4 linked regions of the Pelodiscus sinensis genome follow. The protein of the gene in region 4 interacts with the protein of the main gene of each other region in a biochemical or structural test. Links are inferred from orthologs where the notes say so. Each region holds a gene or a part of one and is shown on either strand. Other genes may lie near its edges.

Region 1 (7,393 bases), on a different chromosome or scaffold from region 4:
AGTATCTGCTGCATTTGTCTCTGAGTCATGGTTGACAAAATTGATGATGCTGTTGTCTGGGCAGTTCATGAGATTCTATTTATACACTGGATTTTATTAGTATTATCCATTTGTAAAAGTATCCAGAGCATGGATTCGGGTGCTTAGGATAAATTCAAAGCCATCAACAAATGCAAATACATAATACAGCCAATTCACCTGTGCTTTCCTAACACAAACTAGATCCCTGCCTCCTGTGGAAGACCCGTCAGAGGGTCGAAAGAGGAGAAATACACTATGAAGGTCCTCTCTGGTGGGTGGTGTTCAAATTTGAGCAGCAGCGCCTCTAGCCAAGCCTGTGAATCTCAGGGATCCATGGGGAAGGGCAAACGCATGCAGAGCTTGGAAGCCTCCCACAGGGACCACTGAACCAGAGTGGCAAGGTCCCTCTGTAGTGTATCCAGTTTGGCAGGAATCTAGAAAGAGGCAAAACAGGTCTGAGCTGTGCTGGATCCTTAACAGATTTCTATTTGTGTGCATAGGGTTACCAGGTAGGTTTAGAAAAAATACCGGACACTCTTGATGGGGAGGGGGACCGGCTGGGAGGGGGGCGGGGCTGGCCAGGAGGGGGGATGGGGGCAGCGCGGCTGGCCGCGGGACATGGGTACAGCCGGGGGGCAGGGCTGGAGGGCGGGCGATTGGGGGCAGCGCGGCTGGCCTGGGGAGATGGGAGGGGTCGGGGGCAGCATGGCTGGCCTGGGGAGATCGGGAGGAGAAGAACTGGCCGGCAGGAAACAGGGGTGGCCGGGAAGGGGTCAGGGGCAGCGGAGCTGGTCGGGAAGGGTCGGGGGAAGCGGGGACGGGACTCAGGCATGTGCAGATCCCGGGGCGCTGTCAGTCCTGTGCACGGTCCGGAGAAGCGCAAGTCAGTCCGGCTGTGTCTCCACCATGCATTCAGGAGCAGGGACAGGGCTTCTCTTTCTCCCCAAAGTATCAGATGCAGCCAGAGCTCCCAGCGCCGATTGCGCCCCGCCTCCCAGCCATTCCCTCTACCCCCACCAGGTTTCCGTCCGGCGCCCAGCCAGAAATCCAGGAAATACCGGACATTGCACAGATCTGGTATTTTCTGGATTTTTTTACCAGACAGAGGGCCCAAAAACCTCTACCGGACACCTGGCAACCCTATGCAGAGCAGGGGAATAGTGCAGCAGAGAGAGGCACTTCTTGTGCTCTCGCAGCCCATCCTGCCCCTAGAAACCACAGACACACTTCCAGAGGGGCTCCTGTGTGAGGTGGGGAAGGATACCAGTGTTACTGCATGGATGTTCATTTCCTACCACACGGCCTACATATGGTGGGGTCCTTTTCCAGGTGCTATATCCAGGAGATGACCGGAGAGGGGGTGGGGGGAGGGAGAAGAGAGACTGGCCGGGTCCTTGGGCAAGGTGGGGGAGGCTGGCTCCACTCTCCTGGAAGGAGTGGGGACTCAGTCAGAAGGACAGGTCTGGACCTCATGCTGCACTGTCCATCCCACCCCCTACACAGTCCTAAGAGCAGCCTAGATGAGCATGGCACTTTGACGGCAATTTAAAGGGCCAGGGGCTCTGGCTGCTGCTGCCCAGCTGAGATCTCTGGGTCCTTTTGAATTGCCGGGCTCCGGGGCATGTTCCCCTCCTTCCCGCCCCCCCTCTAGCAGGCCTGGGCCTGGACAATAGTCAGAACTGCTTTTATCTGCCAGCCTAGGCAAGAACTTGATCAGGTCACAAGGTTGCTTTCAGCAGGGATTATATGGCAGTAGGAGGGACACCCTAAACTGGTATAAATAGGCACCACTCCATTGGTTTTACTAAAGCTGTGCCCATTCATACCAGCAGAGGATCTGGTCAGGTTATTTTTGTAGTGTTAACACATCCTAATGGAACATAGAAATTTCCACACCAAGTCAGACCATCCAGTCCAGTCTACTGTCTTCTGCAGATGTGGGGTAATCTGTCCCCCAAGATGATGTTGTCCTAACCTTTAGCAGACAGAAATTGACATAAGCTTTGATGCAAGAGGCTTTAAATGCCTGTGTGTGCATTTAACATGCACATGTGTGTAGCAGAACCTCTCCATAGCCAGTGACCCATAAAGGGAAAGCCCTGAAGAGGACTACTTTGCTACTTCTAGACAAAATTAAATCCACTTAATAATTTTGAGAAAAAAACCTGGCAAAAGTCCCCTAATTTTTCAAGGTCACATGTTATTTTGGCTTTGACAGAAGTAAAATTCACACAGAAATCAGGGGCTACAATGTTGCTCAATCCAAAATAAGGGGGAAATGTAACTTCCACCTTCAAACAGCACTGACTATTATCCCCATTTTACAGATGAGAAAACGAAGGCACAAGCTTCACTGAGGCTACACAGGAAGGCAGATGAAGAGGCAGAAAAAGAACCCAGCTCCATAACTCCTATTCCTTTTCCTTCCCTCTGTCCTTTGATACCCTACAAAATTATTCTACATTTGCATCCCTGCCCTGAAATGCTGCCCAATAGCTGGCATTCTTGTCAGGAAGCAGGATGCAGAAAAAGGCTTATGAAATAAATATTCATGATCCACACAAACAAGTGACCTCCAACTATAACAAGAGAATTATAGGAATAAGAAGACGGGAACTCAGGAAATAAGGATGACAACAATCTGTAATTAGGGGGCAATTATGTCCAGGGCCTAGAGCAGGACATGGCTATGTCTAGACTGCAGAGCTTTTCCAAGGAACACGTCTGCTTTTTCGGAGCAATTTCCGAAAAAGTGGACATGTTCTTTCACCATCCCTGTAATCCTCATTGTATGAGGAAGAAGGGATGAGCCGAAAGAGGAGGTTGTTCTGGAATTTGGCCCTATGTAGACGGGCCACATTTCAGAAAAGCCTCTTTCGAAAGAAAAGCGGAAAAAGATACGCAAAGTGCGCTTTGCAATTTGCATATCTTTTTCTGACTTTTCTTTGCAGTCTAGACATAGCCTCATAGTCAGAAGACTAAGGATCAGATTGTCAAAAGAGTTCAACTTCCAGTTGGGCACTGACCTAAGTGAAGGTGTTGGGTGCTTAGCACATACAATTCTGGCCACCTCATTTAGGCGCCTAAATGGGATCTGTTGAGCACCTGGAAAATCTTGTGCCAGGCCCTGATCTTGTAAAGAGTTCTGTGTATGCAGACCCATGTGGAAGTTATTGGAAGACTGGAATCCTAGTTTTTTGGTTCCACCTTTGTCATAGACTTTGCTGTCACTTAATCTTTCTGTGCCTCAGTTTCCCCATTGCTATAACATGTATACAGTTATTTACCTTCCTCTGTGAAGTACTTAGGAACCATTGCTTGAAAGATGCTTAGACAATAAAAGGTTTTCTGTACAGCACACGTCAATGGGCTGAAAACAAATGATTATGTGAGGACTGGCATTTCCCCAGCAATAACTGCGAGAAAGAGATGGAGCTGTTAAAATGAAAACAGGAGGAGGATCACAAGCTGTCAATCTCCATAAGTAAATACTCATTTGCTGTGGTTCTTTAAAAGAGAAAAATTTTGAAAGCTACAATGTCTTTGTTTTAAAGGCAGCCTCTAAATATTTACACTGCAAAAACTGGACTGAAATGCGGAAAATGGGCTTAAAAATCCCCAGAACTTTTGTCAGAGAAACAGACTGTGAAATACTTAGAGGGAAAAGAAGATTTATTTGGGGAAGGAGAGGGAAAAGAGGTAGGAATTTTCCATGCTATTGTAAAACATCAGCTCAAATTGTATGATCTCCACAGCCAGTGAATTGCAAAGCTTCAATCAGCTGCCTTTTTTTCTTTTCTGTAGGGGGGGGGGGGGGGAGAGAGACAGAACTGTTTCACCAACTTCTGTTGACTGTTCCTTTTTTTCTCCTGATTGAAATGTGTTGTTAAACAAGATCCCACATAATCTCAGTAGAGGGTTTCTGTCTCTCCTCTCTCTCTCTCTCCTTCTGGGAAACTGCGATCAGTGCCATCGGCATTTGATTATTTGCAAACTCCTTTTGCTTTTTTTCCCCTCTCCCCCTCTCTGTCTCTGTCTCGCTCTCGTTCTCGCCTCCAATGCAACTTTTGCAGAAACCCCCAACACACACAGACATGTTGAGCTGAGAGCTAGGGGGATCGGCCGAGTCCCCCCTCCCCGACCCCAAAGTCCCAAATCTGGGGGGGGCTCTGACCACCTCCCCCACCCTTGACTTGTCCACTGTGCATCGACCTCCCCATACACACGCACCTTTTTCACTCCCTGCTCCTTTTTTTGGTGTTGTTTTTGTTAGATGGACAGGATCAAGGTTGGATTTTTCTGTCTCTCCCCCGATGAAGTGAGGCGGTGATGCAGGAGGCTGGCAGCTTCGACTATACGGAGAGACACAGGCTCAAGATGGCAGATTTGTATTGAGTTTGGGGGGCTGAGATCTCGCTTCATATTTTTAATGTTTTAATATTTTTTTTTGCCATGAATAACACATCATTGCACCGATGGCCCCTATGTACGAAGGTAAGGCAGCTCTGTGTCTTTTATTTCTTTTCACCCCTCCTTATCCCTGGGCTTTGGCCATCTCCAGGCACCCCTACACCTCTCACCAAAAAAGAAAAAAAAGGTGTGTGGGGGGGAGAGAAAATCAGCACAGCTTTGAGAACACTGTAGTGGATTTTTTGATGAATGGCTCTGCCTTGTTTAAAATTACTATTCTTCCTATTCGTATGAAGGTTGATTTTAATTTACTCTTCCATGTCTTCCTCCCCTCCACCTCTGCTGCCTTGTAAAATTCACCCCCTTTTATTTTATTTTATTTTATTTTATTTTGATCGTTTCGGTCCGTGATCACGGAGGGGATGGGTGGAAAAGTCCATTTCACTGCCGAGCCGAACAATGAAGATTGGCTAAGATTGCCCTGTAATTGCTCTCTGTGTGTATGTGTGTGAGAGAGAAATGTAGTTTAAATGCAAGAGCTTGACCCCCTATTCCTTTAGCCTGTACTCCAGAAGGCATTTGCTTTGGTGTTTTGCTGGTCCACTCTATTGTAGGGTATAAACACAAAAGCATATCTAGGCAGATATGTCAGGAAAAACATCTAGCAGCAGTCTGTCAGTTCTTTCAGTTTCTAGTTAAATCCAAGCGGGGATTGCAGTGAAAATTGAAAGTGAACTTATTTTTTCCCCAGTTTTTAAATCTCTCTCTCTCCATATATATTGTGGGCGCACGTTTAAAAATAAATCCGGCTTCATTTAAATCACCTAGCGTTGTAGTTCTTTCTTTCCGTCCCCCCTTCTGGTTGAGAACTGGTGAAAGAGCATTTATAGAAACCCCTGAGTTTCTGTGGTTTTATGCAGAAATATCTTGACGATCGATTTATATAGCACGGGAGATTTTAATGTCTGGCCAGGGAAGAGGCATGCGGGAAGCAATACTTTATCTGTAGTGTGTCTGATAAAACTTATCTGAGAAGAAAATCTAGTATTAGTTGGAGGGTTCTAAATGAACTAGTTTTCCTGGCCGTGTAAAGTTCCCCATGTGCCTATTGATGCCTAGGATGCTTCGGGGTGGTTTAAAATGGCATGGCCTGGAAATAGTTTGAACTCTAAAAAGAAACAAAGGGGATTGTTTGTACGCAACACAAAATAAGTGCTATTCCAGTCCTTTCTTCCACGATCCTGAAGAGCATAGGCTTAATGTCGCCATTATTTCCCCCCTGCAATTTGAGTTAATGAAAGGCAAATGCAACAGATCTGTTAAAAGAGAGAGAGAGGGAGAGCTCTGAGGGACATGTATTATTAAACTGTAGCTGTAAAAAGGGGCTACAGTCAGTGCTGGAACTGTCTGGGGTGTTGAAATGAAATGAAATAATGTTTCTCTTTAAACACCTCCCGAACTCGCCCTCTGCTGGACGTTTAGGGTCTGGTTGAGAAAAGAAACTTGTCACTGAATGAAGAATTGTTAGGAGAGGGCTTTGCCCTTCCAAGGGAAAAGAAGCGTCTCGGTTGGGGTATATCTTTCTTCGGAAAGGTGCTGGTTCCTGGCTGGATGGGATGCTTGTGGTGGCAGGGATGCAAACAGAAAAGGCTAGCGGCAGATAGGTGCCCACCCTACTCTGGCATTGCCCCTCCATCCTCACCTGCCTGAGTCCCTGCTCTTCTGGTCCTGGGTTCCAGACTTCCTAGCTGTGTACCGGCATCTGAATCTTTACCAGTCCCATTTCCCTGCTAGCCTAGATTTGGGGCCTCACAGAAGGTAGCACTGCCAGTGTGTTTTAATCCTGACCAAATCAGTTCCCTGCTACGACAGTGCTGGGCTGCTTACAAGCTAGTCCAATGCACCCCGGGCCTGTCTTGCATCACCCTGCCTGCTGTCCCTGCCTGGAGCCTCTCTGCAACAGAGTCTAATAATCAGGTTGGGTTATGCAGTGATTTTCATGATGTGAACTAAAATCCACTGTGGGGTAGGATGAATCTACCGAGATCATGTTCGTTTATGATCACCTTCAGCTCTCCAGAGGAGGGACATCTCACTTCATGTCCCACTCACTCCCTTGATTTGTCAATATAATGGTGAACAGTGTCCATAGAGTAGAGTGAACATGATTTTCACCTTATGTCCTTTGAAGGAAACTGTGCTCATTTCTGTAAGCTTTTTTCTGTGAAAGGACATGGCACCACCCCCAATTGGGACAAGTTATAGGAAGAAAGAGTCTAATGGACATCAGCCTGGTGGAAGCCAACATACGGGATTCTTTTCTAGAGTCCTGGTGAGAGATGGAGGCTTTTAGGGGGAGTGGAGCAGTTACTGCACTCTCACTTCAGCTTCTTCAAGGCACTTGGGTGACTGAAAAAACCCGACAACTTATAACGAAGGCCTGTGTATATATATCAGTTTTGCAACAGGGAAGGTCCTACAGCAAAACTTTGCAGCCTGCTAAGATATCCCAGTCCTTAAAGTGGGCAACCCTGCAACATTCCAACTCTCTGTAACCAAGGTAAGGTCTAAATGGGGTTGGAGTGCAGGGGAAATGGTTAAATCCTGGATAGTCTGCCCTCCCTAATAGTGAAGAGAGCTCTTCTCAGTTCCTTGACACATTATAGGGTATGGATGGAAACCTGTATTTACTTGCATGTGGAATGTGAATCTAATCTTAAAAGGTGAGTGTGTGGTTCTGATCTTTCCTTCCAGAGTTGATAGTTTCCATATCACAGGCTCTCTCGAGCTTTCCTCTAGCACATCAGGTACACTTAGGGCACTGGTGGAAGTACCATAGAGGAGGTGTGATCAATGTGACAGTTCCTCTTGAATCACTATTGTAACACACATACCCCTTGCTCACACCCCAGGTCACCACCAGCACCAAAAGGTGAGAAGAGGTCTTTCCCAGCAGTAGGGG
Region 2 (6,957 bases), on a different chromosome or scaffold from region 4:
CAGGCATTTTGTTCTTGTTGTTATTTCTTTTAGTTTTCCATTAACACAGCTTCCTCATTTTTGTGTAGTTCCCCTTTTTTAAATTAAATGCTCCCATGGTGGGTGTCTTTGGCCTTTCCCCCCCTACAAGGATGTTAAAGCTTATTGCATTATGGTTGCTATTGCCAAGCAGGGTAGCTATGCTCACCTCTTAGATCAGAACTTGTACTCCACTCAGGAATAAATCAAGAATTGCCTCTTCCCTTGTGGGTTTAAAGATAAGTTGCTCCAATAATAAGCGAACCAAAGAATGCCACTGTAGCTAAACGGCCGAGTAAAAGAGGCAGTTATTCATGGTGTCTAGAAATAATTATCTCTGCATCCAAGGAAGCTGACAAATTGCTGGTCAAGGTGTGAGCAAGGTGTGTGTAGGGCCTGGAAGGGGCGGGGCCCCATGGAAAGGGCGGGTCCTTGTGTGGAAGGGCTGGGGCTGGGACCGACCAGCCGTCAGTGCTATGCGGACAGTGCCACCTCCCCACAGCCAGCTCCCAGTCACCCATAGTGCATTGCCTGGGGTCCTAGCAGTGATTGAAAGGGCTCAGAGCTCTAGTTACCTCTGAAATTACCAGGGCCTGGGGCAACTACCCTCTTTGCCCTCCACCTCCATCCATCCCAGCAGTGGGCCTGTCTGCATCCCTTCTTGAGGTGACATATCCTGCTCTCCTGAGTGCCAATCTCGTGCCCTAACCAGTAGATCATTCTAGTTAATTGCTAAAGCAATTAACTAGTTATCAAAATGACTTAGGGAAAAAGCAAGTTTAAGAATGTTGCAATGGTGCTAATATTTAGAAAGTATTGATTTCAATAAAAATTAAAACTGATACCGAGGTCTAACCTCAGCACCAAAAATAATCATTTCAAACATGTCGGCCATTTACAAAAATCTTTGTTGCCCCTTCCTTGTTCTAAGAGGCATCCCTTCAATCTGGCCCCCAAATCCTCTTGAGCAGAAGTCAAACAGAGATACATCTGCACTACCAACTCTTTGCTGGGTTTTAAAAACCTCCGCACTGAGGAAGCCAATTAAGGCAATTGCTGTTTCTTGTAATATGTTTTGAAATGTCCAATAAGAATTGCTATCACAGATTCTTGCATTGAGAACTGGAGGGGGTGCTCTGCAGATAGGAAGGCATTGCACAAGCATTGTAGTGCTTTGAAGTTGTCAAATGGGAGCTACATATTCACATTGTGGGACAATCAACCTCTAGTACAGCAGCCTGGCCACTTTCAACACAGGCCTGTAATTCCTATGAATCTTTAAAGCATTTGTGTATATACAAGGGAAGAACATACCCCAGCAATATTCAGTATGAATATCATTCCAACTCTGCTAAAGACAGCAAATTTTGATCATAGACCTATGTCTGTGCAATGGACATCTAAGATTTCCTAGCTACTAAATTACATTTGACTCTGATCTTGCTGCAGTTTTTTAGATTGCACATTCTGTGCAATATGCACTATTGATTCTGAAAAGAGAAAAAGATAATGAGAAGAAAAATGTTGCTGCAGTAGCTACCATAGTCTACTATATATTGTGTTACAATACAAACTCAAGCTGCACGAAAAAAAATATAGCTGGAGCTTCTTGCTATTTGATTTTGCAGTCCGTAATATACATTTTAAAAATCCATATTTTTACCTAAAGAAAAAATGACTATGCAATTGTCAAATAAAACAAACGAAAATATTCGAATGTGTTACAAAGAAAACATGATTGACTGTTGATTATCTCAGAATGATAGATACAAACAAAAGTCATCGTTGTTTACTCTTTGATCTCTAACCTAATGGAAAAGAAGATTCAACTTTGTTCCATGTTAGTCAACTCACTGGAAAACATTTAAGAAATTAACCTTTTCCGTTCAGGTATGTTGTATTATAGGTTAAGTGAATAGTTTAGTGAAAGATAGAGGATGTTCCTATGGTTGCAAAAAAACAAACATCATCTTCAGAAATATGCTTGCAGAAAATAAAAGAATTAAAAGAAACAGTACAAATTTATATGTTTGTTAGAAAAAGGACTGAACTACTTGAGGAAAGATGGGACAAAATAGAACAAAATTATTAAAAAAAAAATGCCTGGGTATAACGACGTCTATACATATAGCAACTTAGAGCCCATACTGCCTCAGCTCTGCTCTGTTCCCTTATCATTTATATCTGTCACTCTCTCTTTCAATACTTATGTAAGAAGTGAACTCATACAGTCAACAATTGTGTTTATCTTTAATAAAAGTTTAGTAACTAACGGCCAGATCCTCAACTGGTGTAAATCAGCATGGCTCCCATTGGAATGCCAATAGCTCCATTTACAATGGAGTTACGTTGTTTTACACTTGGCGAGGCTGTGACCCTTAATGTATGACTCATAAGCGGAGAGGTAAAGGAAGTTGTAACACTCCTTTTCCTGCCCAAAATCATTTTTGGTAAAAGTTGTGTCCATATGAAGTTAGATTAAAAAAAAAGTTATATCAGCCTTTACTTTAAAAAATGAAAACTGGCAAGTAACAACTGTTACCTTTGATACCGTGCAGCCCTGTGACTGTTTTTATGAACCACTCTGCCATTTGATTCAAAGTGATGAATGCCAAAACAGTGTTGCTGTCTTGTGTTAATATCCATGCTGGAATATTAGCATCACACATTTTAGTAACTGTCTCTCTCAAACTAGGTACTTCTTCGGAAGTAAAAATCTGCCATGCCATTCTAATAGTGACTTAGAGCTATTATTCTTATATCTACTGTAGCTACTGTATCTTCTTATATCTACTGTAATTATGAAAAACGAAGGCAATCAGAACTCACTTACATTTTTGCCAGTGCATATTCTGTGGCAGAACGGAGGCTTTTCTCTTTGAAGAGGAGAGTTTGGCTTTTTAAATCGCTAACTGTGTTTTACTCCTTTTACAAGTGATGTGATAACTGGCTGTCAGGATGTTTCCTTCAGCTTTTTAAAAGCCCTACGTTCCCGCTGAGCAACGTGATGTCATCACATCCTCCAACCACACATACTTTATATTTTCCTTTGCTATGTGTTGTTCTTCACCACATTATGCAGTTTCTCCAAGACTAGAGTGCACTGGAAGATATTATGCATAAAAGACACGTTACATCACCTAAACATTTTTTAAACAAACACTAAGGTCCGGAACCTATAGTCAATAGGATTTTTGCCTTAGCAAGGTCTATAAGATTATCCCATAAGATACTAAAGCAGAAACATACGAGAATCTTTTAATACGGTTTTTGATCTTCTGTTGTGTTGAGAGGAGCATATGTAGGGACAGATTCCAGCTGGTCTAAATTAACATGGCACCATTGACTTCAACAGAGCTGCACCAGTTTACACCGGGAGTAGGATCAGGCCCTTCAGTGCTTAACAGTTTTAAAATACAAGCCTGAGCAATGTTTTCTCCGGTCTTCCGAGAATCTCAACTCCCCAGGGTCACTAAATCTGAACTCATGAGGAAACACCTGTAAACACTTCAAGCCTCATTAAACGACGACATCCTTCATTTAAAAAAGAAACTCTGTTTTTTCTGTTTTGTTTTTGTTGAAATACATCATTTCCTATTAAAAAAGGGATGGCTGCAGAAATGAGTTACTAACTACCCCAAGTGAATTGGGGTCTTAGAGTATAATGCATGAGTTAAGGAAGCGAGGCACCTCTCAGAATCAGGACCCTATGTTGTACTACTTTACGTGTGTAGAATTTGTTTAAAATTTAACAAGAAAAGATGATCAAATCACATGCAGATTATAAAGTTAAAATGTATCTACCTCCTTCAAATATTTTCTCAGACCTCTCAGTATTAAATAAAATAAATAAATACAATAAAAATTTTGTATTTGCTTAATGAAGAATAGCATCTACCACATTTTCTGTATCCCATAGCTCATGGTGGCATTATTTAGCCATATTTTGCATAGCTATATTAGTGTTCAACTCGCAATCATGCAATGTAGTATCCTCTTTACTGTTAATGCTTAGTAACAGTAGGCATTCGATTACCTAACACTGCATAAGTAGACATGTAAGATAGGGACTGGTCCAATGCTCATTCAAGTCAGGCTACATCTACACCAAGTCAGAAAACCGATGTAAGCTATGCAAATCTACCTATGTGAATAGGTTGAGATACCACAGGCTCTGCACTGCAGAAGGGTCGATGGCAAAAACTCCCCCGTTGACTTTCTTGACTCTTCTTCTCCTGGGTAGAGTAACATGGTAGATGGGAGAGTAATCTGTGATCAATTTGGCAGGTCTCCACCAGACCTGCTAAATCAACTGCCGGTGGTTCAATCTCAGAGTCTTGATCTGAGCTATAGTGTAGATGTAGCCTCAATGAGAGTCCCTGAATTTCAATGGGGTTTTGATTATGCCCATAGTAAGAAAAATTCCCACACTCTTGTTATGTTTCAGTTACCAAAAATGTATTGCAATTTCCCCTTCAGCTAATGGAATTTTGTATAGCATTGTAACAGCACTTAACTCTGTATTATATATCAAATATATATATATTGATAACAACACTAACCATTTTCCTAACAAGCCAAGCCCTTTCAAAACCAGGGCCAGATTATTCCTGCACAAGCTAATAAGAGTTCAGTTTAAAACCAGATCCTAAAATATGGTCTCAAGGAGTTGCAAGGAGAAGTCAACTATGGTTTTGCTTGAGTAAGGTATAGTCTGAGCAAGAGTAAAAAAAATGCAGAGTACTTTAAAGAAATATATTCTTGACCAATCCTTATAAGGAAATTACATTCTGATATTGCTGTTTTAAATATCATGTTCAGAAGCTTCAGGGGGTAGCCAAGTTAGTCTGTACAGGTAAACTGAAAAAACAACAAATAGTCTGGTAGCACTTTATAGACTAACAAAACATGCAGATGGTAGCACAAGCTTTTGTGGGCATAGCCCACTTCTTCAGATGACTCATCTGAAGAAGTGGTAGAAATGTAGCCGTGTTAGTCTGGTGTAGCTGAAACAAAACACAGGACTATGTATGTATGTATCTCAATCCATTAAGATCAACATACTATACTCTACATAGTCCTGTATTTTGCTGAAGAAGTGGGTTATGCCCAGGAAAGCTCATAATACCATCTACATGTTTTCTTAGTCTATAAAGTGTTACCAGACTATTTGTTGTTTTTTCAGTTTAAATATCATGGTAACTGAAATTCATATTCAGGTTTCTTTCAAGGAATAAATCAAGGATGGCCCAAATTTTCAAAAGTAGGCATGTAAGATGTACATGTATATCTGCACACATTCAAATTACTTGCACAATATCTATTGTGTATGATTAATTCTGAGATTTCCACACAGACATACGTGCTTATGCAACTTGCACAAGTGTATAGCATAGTACATATGTGTAAATTATATATTATGCACTCACACAAAGTTCACACCTACAGGTGTAATGTAATTTTTAAATCTTATTAAACTATATCAACCAAAGTTAAATACTTTAAAAACATCTTTATATTGATACTTTCATTATCTGAAATTGTACAGTTAAAGTCTTGTTGTAGTAAATATCTCAAATGAGGAAGTTGCAAAGAGCATGTTATCCACAGATAAAAACAGCCCAAACTATTTTGGGGTTTGATAGTCAGTCATCCATTTCCATGTTTTAACACAGTTATAAGATAAGCCTTTGATGTATTACTGAAGAGCCACGCCTCAAAACACAACCCCATACATTATCACCGAGACTTTATTTGAGTTTGATAGAAAAAACACAGTACAAAGCAAACTAAAGGATCTTCCAATTTACTACATGTAATAAAAATAGCTTTGCTTCACATGATGAATATTATTACTCAGTGTTTGGTAGCAAGTAGAGCTTGGATAAGGACTAGTTAACTGACCAGACAAAATGAAAGTAACACAGGTAGCACGAGGGAAGCAACCAGAAAATATGGCAAGGATTATATCTTCCGTTAAAACGGAAGACATGTGTCTACTGCTTCCTATTCAAGTTCACGGTCTATGAGTATACCATCAGTTGATCCCACAGCAGCAATGACCCGAAGGCAGGAGCCATTTCTTTTGGATGCGCTCTCTTGAGCAGGCCTTTGCTCAATATTCAACTACTGCAAGGAGCGCCACATGGAGCCACACTATAAATCAACCAAATTATGAAAGTTGGTGGCTCACTTGCAAAGTGGACTTTCTCATTCTGTTGATGAGAACCACCTTGGAGTCACATATTCAGAGACTAAAAGGTTTACAAGCTCCACAATAATTAGATATTATAGACACAAAACAGCCTAAGCAATAATCATTTGCATATTTTAGATTAATAATGTACCATATACAGAGCAAGGATGCCACTTTCCGATGGGCTGAGAATAACATTCCTATACAGCATATGTAATTGCTCTGTACACACCAAGCACCCATCACAGGCTTAAAATCAGGTCCACCTGGACAGTTCCTTGAACTTGTACAGAATCGTATTGACTTCAGTGGGGCTCTGCATGGGTCCAGGGATACAGCTACTCAGACGTGATAGGTCTCAGCTTCAAAGATCCCAACCAAGGGTATACAGAGGAAGTACTTGTGTGCAAACAGAATGATATGGCGCGGGGAGTAGGGGGAGGGGTGAGAAAAGAAAAGCGTGCAGTCACTACTTGGAAGCCCCATCTGACAAGACAACAAATTCTTTACTATGACAGAGACTCTAATATTCTACTACTAAGTCTATGGACAGCACAAGAACTACGTCAGTGCTTTCCCAAAATTAGTTCAGAATGGCTGGGTTGCAGTCCCACAAAACTTCATACAGTATCCCCAACTCTAAAAGGACCACTATACCGGAGAGATTACAATAAAATATTGTAAAAAATCATGCAAGCAGGATAAAATGACATGAGATAAGGCAGAAGTGGTATGATCTCAGA
Region 3 (7,027 bases), on a different chromosome or scaffold from region 4:
CCTGGGATGCATGCTTCTCAGCAGAGAAGTAAAAGATCATAAGATATTGTCAGAGAATGCTATGCCCTCACTTTGCTGCCAACTGTTTCCATGTGTTCACTAAGGATGTAAAATTTTGATTATTTGGTAATTGAATAATCGATGCAATTTGTATCAACTACTCAATTAGTCAATAAGGGTGCTTACGCTTTTGAAGTGTAGCAACAGCCCTAGGGCTGTTGTTATACTTCAAAAGTGAAAGCACTATTGGGAGCACAGGGCCAGCATGGGACTCAACAGTCCCCAGCTGACCCTGGGCTCCACGTGGCGTTTCAAAGCGGCAGTGCCACATGGAGCCCAGGGTCAGCTGGAGACTCCTTCATTGACCCCTGGCTCCACACGGAGCTGCCGCTTTGAAGCACCCCTTCCCCTGTTCCCCCGCTGCCTCTTTGTGATAGAGGCAGCAAGGTGGGGAAGCAACTAGTCGACTAGCCTATCGACTGTCCGATAAGCATCATTTGACTAGTTGTTCACATCCCTAGTGTTCACACAATGCAATTTGAAACGAACAGGGGTTTTGTGCAAACATTATTGGTGCGACTTGCATTCTGAGAGTTACTCAATGTGCATCAAAAAGTTTTGGATTAACTCTCCCATATCCTACATGGTTTGAATAATGTAGTCTACTATATGAAAAATTTCAAGTAGGGAGAATACAGAATGGGTTTGAAAGACTAAAATCAGGGCTAATTTGAATCTGTCCTATTTTTTTCAATCTTTCAAAGTTAGGAGGGGAAAATGTCTTTAATTTTAGCTCACCTGTCTGAAATAAGTTAGGCTTTTAGAGGGGAATATTTTTCACCAAGAATTAAAGTTGAGTGGCAAACTTAAAACAAACAAACAATTAATTCCTGAATGCCCCTAAATAATATAAAAAGGAAGCATTCATAGTGCAAGTTAAAACTTACCCTTTGTTATTTCAAAAGATGTTAATGCAGTTTCTCTGCAATAACTAGTTCTTACTTAAAGTGACACCCATGAGAACACATGATTGTATCACACTCACCATAAGTCATAGATTACCATACTGGAAACTGGAGGCTGACTACAGATATAAAGTACTGTACATTCCTTTATTTACAGCTTGTAGAATTTTTGTAATTGCTTAATTTTGCAAGCTGTGGGATAGAAAATACAAATATTATTAAATTGCAAAATATTTTAGTTCTAGACTAAAACACCCGATATTTATTTGAAGGTCACAGTTAAAAACACAGGCCCTAATCCATTGTCCACTGAAGTTGATGGAATGATTCCTGTTCAGGCCCCTAGGATCTAGCCCTGCAACCATCCGCTGTCTACCTTCAGCTCCCACTCCCTATTATGGAAGCAAGACTGGTCTCTTACATACACACATGAAAGATACTCTTTACTCTTATCACATGCATTACCATGATCAGTCTGTCTGTAATACTAGAGCATTTTCATGTACTACTGAACTGATCTTGGGTAAACTATCTTTTAAAAAAAAGTATACTAGTGCCTATTTTTCAATAAATCTTGTCTGGAGATAAGATGGTAAGAGGGAAATATTCTACATTTCAATAAAGCCGTGTACCTGTTTGTATGCTATAAAAATACAGATGGGCTGTGTCTACACTGGGCCACTTATTCCGGAAAATCAGCCACTTTTCCGGAATAAGCTGCGAGCTGTCTACACTGGCCCTTGAATTTCCAGAATAGCAACGATGCTCTACTGTACAAAATCAGCCGCTATTCCGGAAAAACTATTCTGCTCCCGCTCGGGCATAAGTCCTTATTCCGGAACACTGTTCCGGAAAAGGGCCAGTGTAGACAGCCCAGTCGTCTTTTCCGGAAAAAAGCCACGATTGCGAAAATGGCGATCGGAGCTCTTTTCCAGAAAAGCGCGTCTACATTGGCCACAGATGCTTTTCCAGAAAAAGGGCTTTTCCGGAAAAGCAGCCTGCCAATGTAGACGCTCCTTTTCCGGAAAAACTGAAAACGGAATAGTATTCCATTTTAAGCAGTTCCGGAAATTCATGTCAGTGTAGACACAGCCCTGGTGTCCTGTGATTTTTTTAAAAAGAGTACTAACAGTACTGTGTAATATAAAGTACAGATATGGTATATCTTGCAATCCTTATAAGAACTGACCCTTGTATGCCAAGTTATTGCTTATATGGACATATAGGGCATGATCGGCTCTCCTCATTCAAGCAAAAACTCCCACCAAGAGTGCAGGAGCAAGTCCATAAACAGGAATATCAGCTCTACATGAGATATTATCACATGTAACACATAAAAATATACTTGGCAGGCTAAAAGGCTGCATTTAAATATAGAGTGTATTTATGGCCCCTAAATTACAAAATATACTGCTTTTCTTTTCCATAGACACTATGTTCTTCAACCAGGCATGAGCTATATGTGACATTGTGTTCTGAAGCTGACCTGTATTCTTTTAAAAACCATTTAATCACACACAGCTGACCAGAATTCCTTTAAAAAAACCACCTAATCAAATGCATTTGAAATACCCCAAAACAGTTATTTAATCTCTATGTAAGTATGAGTGTGAAATGGGCAGTCTCTGCATATGCCTTTTCCTAAAAACACTGCAATAGTGAAATCTTTCCAAAATAAAACCCTTCTCTTCCTCTCCCTGAATCAACACGCTCCTCAGATAGCGTTGAGACCATTTTAACATTTTAGGCATAGCACGCATGGCCTGAATAGAAAACCTAGAATTCATTGTAATCAACGTGCAAGCTTCTTTTCATACCATCTTAACAATATACATTAATTTTTTTAAATTAACACTTTTCATCCTTTGGGCAAGTGTACTGAATGAGCTGTGACATATATGAGAATACATTATGTTACAGGGACTAGATACCTCAAGTGAATTGATGGAACGCTATACTGTCTTTCATCTCCAAGTCACTGGTGCAAATGCAGATCAGATTAAAAGTGTTTCAAAGTAGTTATTATCTGATGGCTGTTCTATGGATGACATCGAATGGTGGTCTCAATTCCATTCCTAATGGGCCAAGAACTGTGATTCACTGGCTTCTCTGGAACTCTCATGAAGGCCAAGAAGTAAATGAACATGCAGACTGAAATACCACTCTGAATTCCTGGAGATGTTCAATCCAGAATGGGTTTAATAATATTAGTGATGCACTGGAGGAAACTTGTTACTGTTTGTGCTATATTTGTTCTGTAGATAACAGTTACCGGTAATGTCAAACCAGAATCTTTTTACATGCGTGAAATTCACTTTAATTTGCAGTATGCATCTTTGGGGCTTTTGCAGTGTTGCCTCATCTGAGACTGAAAATCCAAGTCCTGATTTATGTTTGAAATGTAAAACTGTATAAAATCTCTGGGGAGTCAGTGAGAAAACAGGATAAGTCTAAAAGGTAGACTAGAAAATGTGTGTGAACAGTGATTTAAAAAAATCCCAGACACTTCTGAGAAAACATGGCAGAAGGGAATAAAATTAAATTATGAAAAAGAGGGGAAATGCATTTAAAAGAACTTTCACTGCAGCTAAACTACCACTTAGCTTATGGGTAGTGTTTTCCTGTTACCTCACACTGAAATCACAATGGTTACCACTTGAGAACCTTGTAACAAACAATTACCGTAATGTTTAAATAGAGTGACCACCTGGCCCATGTTTGACTAAAATAGTCTACATTCAGAAGCAAAGAAACAGTTTGTAACTATGCTAACCCTCAATAACATGAAATAAAATATGATTTTCTAACAGAGGGAGTTAACATGACTTTAATGGAAACATATTCCATACATTGCAAGGGTGCCACCAACTCCATCTGTATCTACTGGAAGGAAAGCATGATGTGTGCTTTCCAGGTTTTATACTAAGCCAAAACCCACGGTTTTATTTTAAACAGATGTGAACGAATTAAACCCAACATTTTCAGGTATTTTTAGTGCAGTATGATGCCATGTGATTAATACCTTATAGCATGAGTTGATGTGTGTTTTCACCTTAAAGATAGTTTAAACCTCTGTTTAAAAAATTGTGCCTGATGTTGCCAGCAAATTAGAACACGGGGTCCTATGTTGCTACTTTTTGCACAAGTTGGGCCCGCTGCTGGAGTGGGCTGTGTGACAGCAGGAGCCCCGCAGGGAATACTGTGAGCACCAGGGTAGGCGCCGCCGGTCCTTCCTTGCTGCTGCAGGGATCCTGCCGAGCGGGATGGTGCTAGGAGCGGGCTTTTCCCCTCAGCCCTCACCTGGACCGAGTCTTCTCAAGGAGCGACGAGCCCCCACCCGCCAACGGTTCGACCTGCACATCCGCCCCGCGTGAAGAGCGTTTGTCCCCCGCGTGTGTAGGGGCGATTCCGGGGCTAAAAGGGGGGGTCACACCCCCCTGCAGCTGCAACCTCCTCCAGTCCCCTGCACGCCCCAGTGCCCAGGGCAGCGCGGCGGGGCGGGAGCAGGGGCGGGCTGTCACAGCGGGGCGAAGGAGAAAGTGCAAGAAACACGCGCGGGGGCGGGGGGAATCCAGCGGGAGGCGAGGGCCAGGACGGGGCTGCGGCGGGGCCCGGGGGTGGGGAGCTCCCGTCAGTCAGGCTTGCGGCGGGCAGCCTCCAGCGCCTCCGCCCTGCCCGCCTCCCCGCCCGGCGGCGCCTCGCTGCTCATCACGTGGCGGCTCCCCCCAGCCCCCCGAATTCCCGGCGTGGGGAATGGCCGCGGCGTGATTGTGACGCAAGCAGCGGGCGGCCGCGTCCCCGCCCGGCGGGCCGCGTTCTACCCGAGCGGGAGCAGCGGCAGCAGGAGCAGCGCGAGCCCCGGCCCCGCGCAGCAGCACGTTGGCCGGCGGAGCCGCGGGTGAGTGAGCCAAAGTTCCCTGGAGCCTGGGCCGGGCGCAGCCCGCGGGAGGGGAGCAGCCCAGCCTGCGGCTCCAAGTTTGCATGGGGGGGAGGAGCAGCACCCCCTTTCCCTGAGCACGAGGAGGGGGATCCCATCCCTTCCGGCAGCGCAGGCAGGGGACCGCGCGGCTGGTCTCGCGGAGAGGAGCGCCTCGCTGCGAAAGGGTTAGGACCCAGCCGGTGTCTATAGTAACGCTGCAGCCAAGAGGTGGTTTTAGCCGGGAGATGGTTGACACACAAGAGGCAGCAGCTTCCCCGCTACCTTGTGGGGCATGGACGCCCCCCTTTCTTGGCTGGCACCCTGGCTTGTATTGTCGCTGGCATCCTGGCTTTTAACGAGCCGCCTTGTGCAACACGGGCACCATCTCGTACAGGGGGACGTGAAGGGTTGGGTGAAACGAATGCACAGAAGGATACTGTGGGAAGAGTCTGTCCCCCCTACCCCACCTCTAAACCAGCATGCAGGACTTGGACATCCTCAGCCACCTCTCTTGCTGGGTTACAGTGTGCTTTGGTTTTGCTGTTTGCTGAAATGTGACTCCTTTGCTTTCCTTTGCTGATGACTTTCATCTGCAGGTGGTGAATGAGGTAAAGGGTTATTGTGGCTGTTGTCGAAATGCCAGGGTGTGTTTATTTTAAATACAAAACAAAACAATAAAAATGGGAGAAGAAAAATTAGGAGGCTGTTACTGGCAACCACACAATTTCCACAGGAAATGCTAGCATTCTTCGCTGAACTCTGCTTGCAGAGAAGAAATAGGCTTCAGAAATAACTATTGTTGACAATTTTCAGTGTTCCTTGAACAAAATCCTGCAATATAATTATCTGTTCCTGTTGTATTTTTGGCTTTCCTCTGAGTAGCTGGTGAAAAAAATGCCATTCCCGTTGTTTCCCTCTTAAAAACAAGTAACAGAGCCTTGTGCTTCTTATCAGTTTATGATTGACAGGTATCCCTCAAAGAAGAAAAGCACCCTCCTCTGTAAAAGAAAAGAATGACAGCAGATAAAAGAGCCTCTTCTCTCACCCTATGAAGTGGAGCAGCCCAGGGTTGTGTTTTCCAAATGAAATTATGGTTTTATCCGAGGGATTTAATTAGAGCTCAAGCATGTATATGAATGATGTCAGTTCTCCAAAGTGGCACTGTAAAAATCATTTTCTATGAAATTTGAAGCCAATACAAATTTATTTGTGTTCTGTTCTGAGCCATATATCCCTTGTGGGGAAATGGCTTTAAACACTATATATTCTACTGGTACATTTTGATAGTTAAAAGAAAATTGAAGAAAAGTTCACTGTTTTTATACCTTAAGGAAATGTTAGTGAAAATAGCTTATTCCTTTCTTTTTTAGTTCTAAGAACATTAATTACAGGTCTATCTAATGGGAGGACTACAGCACAGATTATAGTTAAATTAATCCAAGGCTAGTCTAATAACATAGGGTTGAATGTTACAAACTGTTTACTTAAGCTGATATCAATGGGAGTCCTTGTGTGAGTAAAAAAAACTTGTATGAGTAAGGGCTGCAGGGTCAGACTCTTAGAATATAAATTAGCTCTGAAATATACAAATGCTTGATCTAAATCAGTGTTGCCAGCTCATGATATTTGATGTTTGATTTACATCCTTAGCGCATGGAGACAATTGATTGTGAATTTTTTTTTTTAAGAAAGGGCTTGACTAGAGAGAGGGTAATGCACAGTATGAAAGAGCCTTCAGTGTATACCAGCAGGGTATACACAGACTAATTTATGTACATGACATTAGTACACTATAGAAATCACACACTTAATAATGCCTATCACCCACCATGTAAATAAGCCCTAAATTTCTAGTGTTATGGTTGCAGAGAAAAGCTTTGAAATATGATAGCAGTATACCCTAAAGATTAAAAAACAAACAAACAAAAAAAACAACACCCCAAACTAGAAGGTAAATAAAAACAACCCACATTTTATTAGTCTTTAAAATCTCCTGATTTTTAAGCCTTGATTTTTTTAAGGGCCTGATTCGTGACTTTTGAACAATGAGGTTGGCAGTACTGTGTCTTGCTTCCTTCGAAGTCAGTGGGAACAGGTTCACATCCTCCAATTAGAAAATAAAAAAATTCCACTTGGTGTAGTT
Region 4 (7,693 bases):
AGGAGGCGGAGAAAGCAGACGGCAGCTCCTGCGTGCTGCCTTTCCTTCCCTCCCCCAGGCCCAGGGAGCCACCCTGGCATATCGACCTCATGTGATCAGCCGAGATGGCTGTGCCGTCAGCAAAACACATTCCGAAACGCCGGGAAAGAATGGGTGGTGCCCCACCTACCTACAACGCGCTAGAAACTCGCTCGCTGCTACTTTTAGAAGCTACTTCAACTGCCCCGTATAAAATACGCTGCGGAATTTTAACTGATTAAAGCTGTTTCCAACAGCTGATAACTGAATTTCTTGCTTTTCCTGTACATGAGTATTCTGAGTAGCAGCCAACAGGCTTACACAACACCACAACCACAATTTTGTATACCTATTTGTAACAGTATTATTCTAACCTATAAATCCACTTTGAAAATGTGACGTTAAAGCATGTAAGAGAGAAAAGCTATGAAGTATTGTCCCCCACAAGCCCGTAAGAGAGTTGCCAACTTTCTACTTCCACAATAAAAGCACCCTGCCTCTGCCCCTTCTCCAAGGCTCCACTCCCACTTGCTCCCCCTCCCCCATCTCTCATTTTATGGAGGCTGGGCTGCCCTGGGGATAAGGATTCCAGCTGGAGGTTCGGACTTTTGGGATAGGGGTAGGGATTTGAGGGTTAGAGGGATACTCTGGGCTGGGACTGAGGCATGGGGGAAGACAGAGGGTTGTAGCTCCAGGAGGAGGTACAGGCTCTGGGATGAGACTGAAGATGAGACGCTTAGGGTGCAGGAGGAGGCTTTAGCCTAGTATCAAAGGGTTCAGTGAGTGGGAGGGAGGTTGGGGTAGGCTGAGCTCAGGGATGCAACCTCCTTACTGCTTAACTCAAGCAGCTCCTGGAAGCAACAGCATAACTGCATCAGCCCTACTATCCAGTTGGTGGCACTTTTAATAGGGAGGGTTGCCAGATGGTTTCAACAAAAAAACGGGACGCACTTGACATTACATCACAAACTACATTACATCTTATTTAGACACTGGACATTTATATTTTCTCTGTTTCCCGAACAGAAAGCTCAAATACTGGACTGTCCGGTTCAAACCCGGACACCTGGCAATCCTAATAATAGACTAGTCATTGGTACTGACCAGAGCCACTAGGGTCCCTTTTTGACTGGGCAGTCCAGTTGAAAATTGGATAGCTGGCAGCCAGTAATCAGATTAGTTTTACTGATTTGCTTCTGACACTTGGGTGGTAATGAATTGTAAATGTGTTAAACTTCCTACATAAAGACTATTCCAGAAGGCAGAGGAACCCAGGCAAGAGTGCAGAAAACAGGTGTGTGGGAAGATTCCATGGAGCTGTTAAGAAATGGCACAGTTTTTAAACTTAAGAACGGCCATCTAGTCCAGTACCCTGTCTGCGGACACTGGCCAATACCAGATACCCGAGAGGGAGGGAACGCAACAGGTAATCATCATGTGATCCCTCTCCTGTCAACCATTTCCAGACAAACAGCGGCTAGGGACACCGCTAATAGCCGTTGATGGACTTAACTTCCATGAATTCATCTAGCTCTTTTTGCAACCCTGTTAAAAGTCCTTGTCTTCACAACATACTCTGGCGAGAAGTTCCACAGGCTGATTGTGCTCTGTTTGAAGAAAATTTCCTTTTGTTTTAAACCTGCTACCTATTTATTTCATTTGGTGACCTAGTTGTTCTATTGTGGGAACAAGTAAATAACTTTTCCTTATTTACTTTTTCCACACCATTCATGATTTTATAGATCTCTATAATATCCCCGCACGCTCCCCTTTTCTAAGCTGCAACGTCCAAGTCTTTTTAATCTCTCTTCAAATAGGACCCATTCCAAGCCCCTAATCATTTTTGTTGCCCTTTTCTAAACCTTTTCCTAATGCCCAGGGCTCGACAAACCACTGTTTCTACTCGCCCATGGTGAGTAGATTTCAGCTGGTCGCTCTGTGCACCCCATTCACCGGCGCTACACACATGCGCAGTGCCGGTCTGGAACATGCGCGGTGTGGGGCTGGCGAGTAGCTCTCACCGCAGTTTGTCAAGCCTTGCTAATGCCAATATAACTTTTTCGAGATGAGCTGACCATTTCTGTACCCAGTATTCTTGATCCTCACACAAGTGGAAAAAATCAAGTTGATGCAGCTGAACTTATCCAGTACTGAACATACTGGATTCTGGAAAACTGGCACCTGGGATTACTGTAAAAGTACGTGAAACAGTAATAGTGAAGACATAAAGGCACATTTTAAACACAAACATAGTAAATCTGTAAACCCAAGATTTCCAAGAGCAAACAGAGGTTGCCTGCAAAAGGGCAAAACATTGTGTATGAGTTCTATAATGTATAAAACGTCCAAGTTTTTTTTTTTTTTTTTTTAAAGGAAAAAAGTGTTTCCCACTACATTAGAAATTCAGAGTTTGACCACCCTTGTTTTTTCCCTGGAAGACTACAGAAAACTATTAGAACTGTATATCAGTTCAAGACAACTGCTCCTCTCAGTGGTCCAAAATGGGCACTCAATCACAGGCTTCCAGCTCTCCCAGTTGTAGCCTCTTTTAGCTGGAGACCCATGTCTCACTCCCTTCTGATCAAGGAATGTCCTAGAAAAACATTTTCCTTCCTTCACAATGCACTTCCCATCAAAGACCCTCTGCCTAAACAGATATGTTTGCTTTCCCTTAATATACTGATAATAGTGATGATCAGTTATAAAAGGTAAAAACATTCTAGAAAATATTCTTTCAAAATGAAAAAGCCTACATGCATGCTAATAAAACTTAACCCTAACATGAATTCTGGCAGGCTTAGTCCTTAACCCTACCCCAATGAGTGCTGGCATAATCATAGGTCGATATTCGCAAAAGCTTCTATTTAAACATAAATTGAAGTGTGATACACGTAACTGTTAAAGTGACCATGTCTCTAACTGGTTACAAAAATCATGATTTAATCTGGTGCTGACAGGACTGTAGGATATTAGGAATTGTGCTGATATTTTTAGTCGTAATAGCTATATTTCACCCACATTTCCAGAGGTTTCAGAAGTCCAACGGCTCCTCCTAGCTGACAAAATCTCTAGCTTCTTCATCAACTTTTATTTTTATGGAAAAAAAAGGGAGAGAAAAACAAAAAGTACAGCTGAGTGGGCTGGAAGTATCCCATACTTAGTTTTTTTTATGTAAATGAGGTGTTAAATGCATGGAAAGCTGATTTTATACAGCAGCACAACAATTGGCAGGTACTCCTTCCCCATCACCCCCCTCCCCGCCTTCTTTTTCCGTTATAAATTCTGGATTCCAATTTCAGCGCATCTGAAAGAGTGGGTTTTGCCCAAGAAGGCTCAGGGCTCTCTCGATAAAGATATAGATATAGATATAGATTCTCTAAGGTGCCACAGGACTACTCATTGTTTTTAAAGTTACAGATTAACATGGCTAACTTTCTGAGACTTTCATTTTGAAGAATTAAGTTCTGGTTTGCAATGGAATCTTAAATAGTTGAGATAAAGAGTTAAACAGCAGTCCAGTCTCATACAGAAAGGTAAGCTTAGCAACAGTTCAGATAGAAAGCTAGTCACGCTTACTACTTATTAGAGTCAAATTTCACTCAATTGACCTTCAATAACAGTTGTGGTGTCTCTAGACTGCACATGACAGTTACACAAACTTCTGAAAGTCAGATCAATTATAAATTTTAATAATTCCCATTCACTTTCAATAGTCATGGAATTATCCTGATGTACATTTGTGTCTGATATGTTTCCCTCTTATTTATTACAGAGTTATACAAAAGTCAACAACTGTTGTCATTTCCAGAACTTGTGTCAGGGAGCTATAGTCTCTTTACACAAACCCCTCTTGCATACAAAAGTTGGTTTAATATAATAAAAAAAAGAGTTACCTAATGCAGTATGAACCAACCACTGACAGTTGCAAAATAAGGACTATTCTAATAAAAAAAGATCATTTACACAAGACATGTACCAGTTCGGAAAGTCAGTGATTTAAAGATTATGGATTTAGAGAATTTTTCTGTGTTCTTCCTACACCATGTTTTCACACTTGAAGAGCTCAAAAATGCAAACTGTTGATTCTGCAGTATTCAGAGCTATGGACTGCATTATCAATTCTGAAATACTGTCTAGTGAAAATCCAGTGTCAACTATTTTATATACAGGCAGTCCCCAGGTTACGTACAAGATAGGGACTGTGGGTTTGTTCTTAAGTTGAATTTGTATGTAAGTCGGAACTGGCGTCCAGATTCAGCCACTGCACCCAGCTGCTCTACTCCAGGTATCCACATGTCAGCCGCTGCTGAAACTGATCAGCGGCTGATTACAGGAAGCCCGAGGCAGAGCAACTCTGCCCCAGGCTTCCTGTAGTCAGCCGCTGGTCAGTTTCAGCAGCGGCTGAATCTGGACGCCAGTTCCGACTTACATACAAATTCAACTTAAGAACAAACCTACAGCGGCTGACTTGGGGACGCCTGGGGCAGAGCAGCTGGGGTGCTGCCGGGTTGGTCCAGTAGCGCCGAGGAGCGGCGCTGCGGGACCAACCCGGCAGCACCCCAGCTGCTCTGCCCCAGGCATTGTCGGCGAGAAAAGCCTGGTCTGCTGGGGGGAAGCGGGGGGGGCGCACACTAGCTGCGCCTCTCCTCCCCAGCAGACCAGGAAGACGCGGGTGGCGGTCCCGCCGAGACGCACCGTGGTCCCGCCCGCATCCTCCGCGGCTTTGCTCCACGTCTCCCTGGTCTGTTGTGGGGAGCAGACCAGGGAGACGGGGAGCAAAGCCTCGGAGGACGCCTGCAGCGGGATAGCCACGGTGCGTCTGGGCTGTCCTGCTGCCCACGTGCTCCGCGGCTTTGTTCCGCGTCTCCCTGGTCTGCCGGGGGGGGGGGCTCCCCCCAGCAGACCAGGGAGACGGGGAGCAAAGCCTCGGAGGATGGTGGCAGCAGAACAGCCGCTGCGCATCTGGGCGTCCTGCCGCTCGCGTCCTCCGGGGCGAGAAAAGCCCCGTTCGTAACTGCGGATCCGACATAAGTCGGATCCACGTAACTTGGGGACTGCCTGTAATCGGGTTAGACTCACTTATTACACTATAATTGATAATGTAAAGGTGTATTAAACTAAACAAAAACAAGGTACTCTTATTCAAGAACAGGAGTAACTCTAGAGATGCAAGAGTTTAACCAATAAGCATTATCTTATCAGTTAACCTTACTAATTAAACTCCCAGCAGTCTGTGGAGCATTTAACAGACTGAAATTCAATCCACTAATAGTTTTGTTTGTTTTTAAACATCTGCAGCATTTACACATATTATTCTGGGATAGTAGTTTCTGAATAACTCCCACTGCAGACAAGCTCTAAACTTGCACTCTAAAGAACAGATTCTACAAAAATAAAGCTATAAACATAAGACTTGCTAATAAATAGTCATCTTTTTAATTCCACATGATGCTTGATATTGTTTTAACTTTTAAAGAAACATCCATTATAAAGTAATCAGCAGTTGGCTTTGTGTGATGATCTCAAGATTATGGGCTACTAACACTTTTTTCTTTTTAACAGAATATCATAACCAATGATTTAATCTCTGTGTTATTGGTGTTGGAGTGTGCCTAACCAGCCAATCCAAGTTTCACAACACACAAGATTACAGGGAACTGATTAAATTAAATATACGCAGTTAAACTTGGAAAGCATCCTATTACCCATGATGCACAGGAAGTTGAAAGTCCTCCAAAATCACTAAGGGAAAATTACCATCTAACCCCAGATACTGCAAGTAGTTGGACCCTGAACAGGAGGAATAACCAGCAAATTAAGTACCTGAGACAGAGAATGCTTGGGGCCCTCTCAGTGCTCCATTTCAGCCTTTTCAGTGTCCTATCTGCAAAAACGGCCTTCTCTGATGCTTCAAAGAAAGGAAACAAAAAACCTCTGCAATACATCACAGAGGAAAAATCCCTTCCTGATCTCTTCAGGTAGCTGTCTGAAGCCTTGAAACATAAGTTTTAAGAACGTAATACATAAACCGAAATAAACCCTCTCAGAACTGCTACCCCCTACTCCCCACCATCACAAAAATACTCTATCAACACTTATATTTGGGCCTGCCCTCTCGCAAAAGTTTGTTTGTTTGGTCTCATCTCCCAGTAGGGCTGAAGGCTATTCCAAAACCTTACTGCTTGGAAGGTTAGAATCCTTCTACTTTCTATCCTGAATTTGTTCATGACCAATTTATACCCATTTATTCTTCTGCCAACACTGTCCCTTAGCTTAAATAGCTCTTCACCATCACTGGTACATACATACGTGTATACACACACACAAAGTGTATTTAGAGAGACTAATCATATCCACCCTCTTTTTGCTGTTGCTAGACTAAACAAAACAAGCTCTTCCAAGCTCCTCAGATAGGTTGTCTACTCTCCTATTCATCACAGTAGCACTTCTCTGCATCTGTTCCAGTTTCAACACATTTTTTAATACAGGCGATCAGATGTATACAGTATTCCAGATTCCCTCCAGCAGAAATACCTCACCTGATACATCCTCAAATCACATTTGCCTTTTTCTGCAGCCACATATTGGTTTCTTATTGTCATTCAGTGATTGACCAGAACACACCCAGATCTTTCCCTAAATCTGTGGCTTCCAACTGGTAATCCTCCAGCTTGTAGCAGAAATTAGTAGACCCTAAATGCATGACTTTCTACCTGTGTTCAATTGAATTTACTCTGGTCTTCAAGGTCATCCAGACCTACTTCATTCAAAGTTGAAAAAACAATTAGGAGATGGAAGAGGAGTGGATCAGATCTAACTGAAAAACAAGACCAGTTTTTTAAAAGCTATCTTATGAGCTGGATGAAACCTAATTTTTGGTTAAGTTAAAACCTCATTTGACTGAGGGGGTGTTAATGCACCCTTCAATTAACGTAACTGGAAGGATAAGCCACCACCTAGGACCAAAAAAACAAAAAACAAACAAAAAAACAACCAATAAAAACCCAACAACCCAGCATTTCTTTAAGGAAAGTTGAGGAGCAGAACGCAGAGGGAGAAATAGTAACTAAGGGTATGTCTCCACAGTCAAGAAAAAACATGCATATGGCTCGTGCCACCCGAGTCAGGCTTGTGGGGCTCGTGTGCGGTTTTATTGCTGTGATAAGTTTTGTGTGCATGCTAACAAGTGTTTTCTTGGTGCTGAGAACAAGAAAAGATGTTCTCTCCTATTCGATTCCTCCTTTGTTCGGTGAGATCTACATACATTCCTTGTAAATGAACAAAATTGGATCAAAGAAATACCTAGCTATCACCAATTTCTCATCTTAACTGAAATATCCTAGGGCCTCAAACTCTGACTAGCCATTCAGGTCAAAAGAAGGCAGTGCTAGTGTCAGGTGTGAGCGTTAGCTTCTAAGACAGACTTGCTGAAAAGGTACACTTGTTGAAAAGGGGAAAAATGATAGCAGTGCTCACAGAAATGTAAAAATGGTCTAAACCAGTGGTGTACAACCTTTTTCGGTTGGGAAACCCAGCTGTAACACATGCCCCCAGAAATGGTAAAATGGATTATCAAAGTGACCAGTAATCTGACTATCACAGACCATAATTTTTTTCATGAAATAGTGGAGACAAAAGAAGCTTTGGCTAACCTGGAACTAGCTAACAAAGATGA

Evidence for each region.
Region 1: of the proteins of SIAH1 (region 4) and HIPK2, one has a biochemical effect on the other in vitro, tested with the Homo sapiens proteins (4 studies listed by BioGRID, with this or other methods). The link is inferred for Pelodiscus sinensis from reciprocal best matches to the Homo sapiens genes SIAH1 and HIPK2.
Region 2: the proteins of SIAH1 (region 4) and POU2AF1 form a complex in vitro, tested with the Homo sapiens proteins (2 studies listed by BioGRID). The link is inferred for Pelodiscus sinensis from reciprocal best matches to the Homo sapiens genes SIAH1 and POU2AF1.
Region 3: the proteins of SIAH1 (region 4) and SNCAIP form a complex in vitro, tested with the Homo sapiens proteins (2 studies listed by BioGRID, with this or other methods). The link is inferred for Pelodiscus sinensis from reciprocal best matches to the Homo sapiens genes SIAH1 and SNCAIP.

Annotation. Positions count from the first base shown.
Region 1 is NC_134711.1:100,536,490-100,543,882, forward strand, and holds the start of HIPK2 (homeodomain-interacting protein kinase 2), read left to right. Parts: upstream 1-4,375; 5' UTR 4,376-4,496; coding exon 4,497-4,515; intron 4,516-7,393.
Region 2 is NC_134736.1:6,300,759-6,307,715, forward strand, and holds the start of POU2AF1 (POU domain class 2-associating factor 1), read right to left. Parts: upstream 3,010-6,957; 5' UTR 2,868-3,009; coding exon 2,852-2,867; intron 1-2,851. UniProt on the Homo sapiens protein: Transcriptional coactivator that specifically associates with either POU2F1/OCT1 or POU2F2/OCT2. It boosts the POU2F1/OCT1 mediated promoter activity and to a lesser extent, that of POU2F2/OCT2. It recognizes the POU domains of POU2F1/OCT1 and POU2F2/OCT2.
Region 3 is NC_134716.1:55,040,533-55,047,559, reverse strand, and holds the start of SNCAIP (synphilin-1), read left to right. Parts: upstream 1-4,022; 5' UTR 4,023-4,863; intron 4,864-7,027. UniProt on the Homo sapiens protein: Isoform 2 inhibits the ubiquitin ligase activity of SIAH1 and inhibits proteasomal degradation of target proteins. Isoform 2 inhibits autoubiquitination and proteasomal degradation of SIAH1, and thereby increases cellular levels of SIAH.
Region 4 is NC_134722.1:28,842,081-28,849,773, forward strand, and holds the start of SIAH1 (E3 ubiquitin-protein ligase SIAH1), read right to left. Parts: upstream 3,012-7,693; 5' UTR 1-3,011. UniProt on the Homo sapiens protein: E3 ubiquitin-protein ligase that mediates ubiquitination and subsequent proteasomal degradation of target proteins.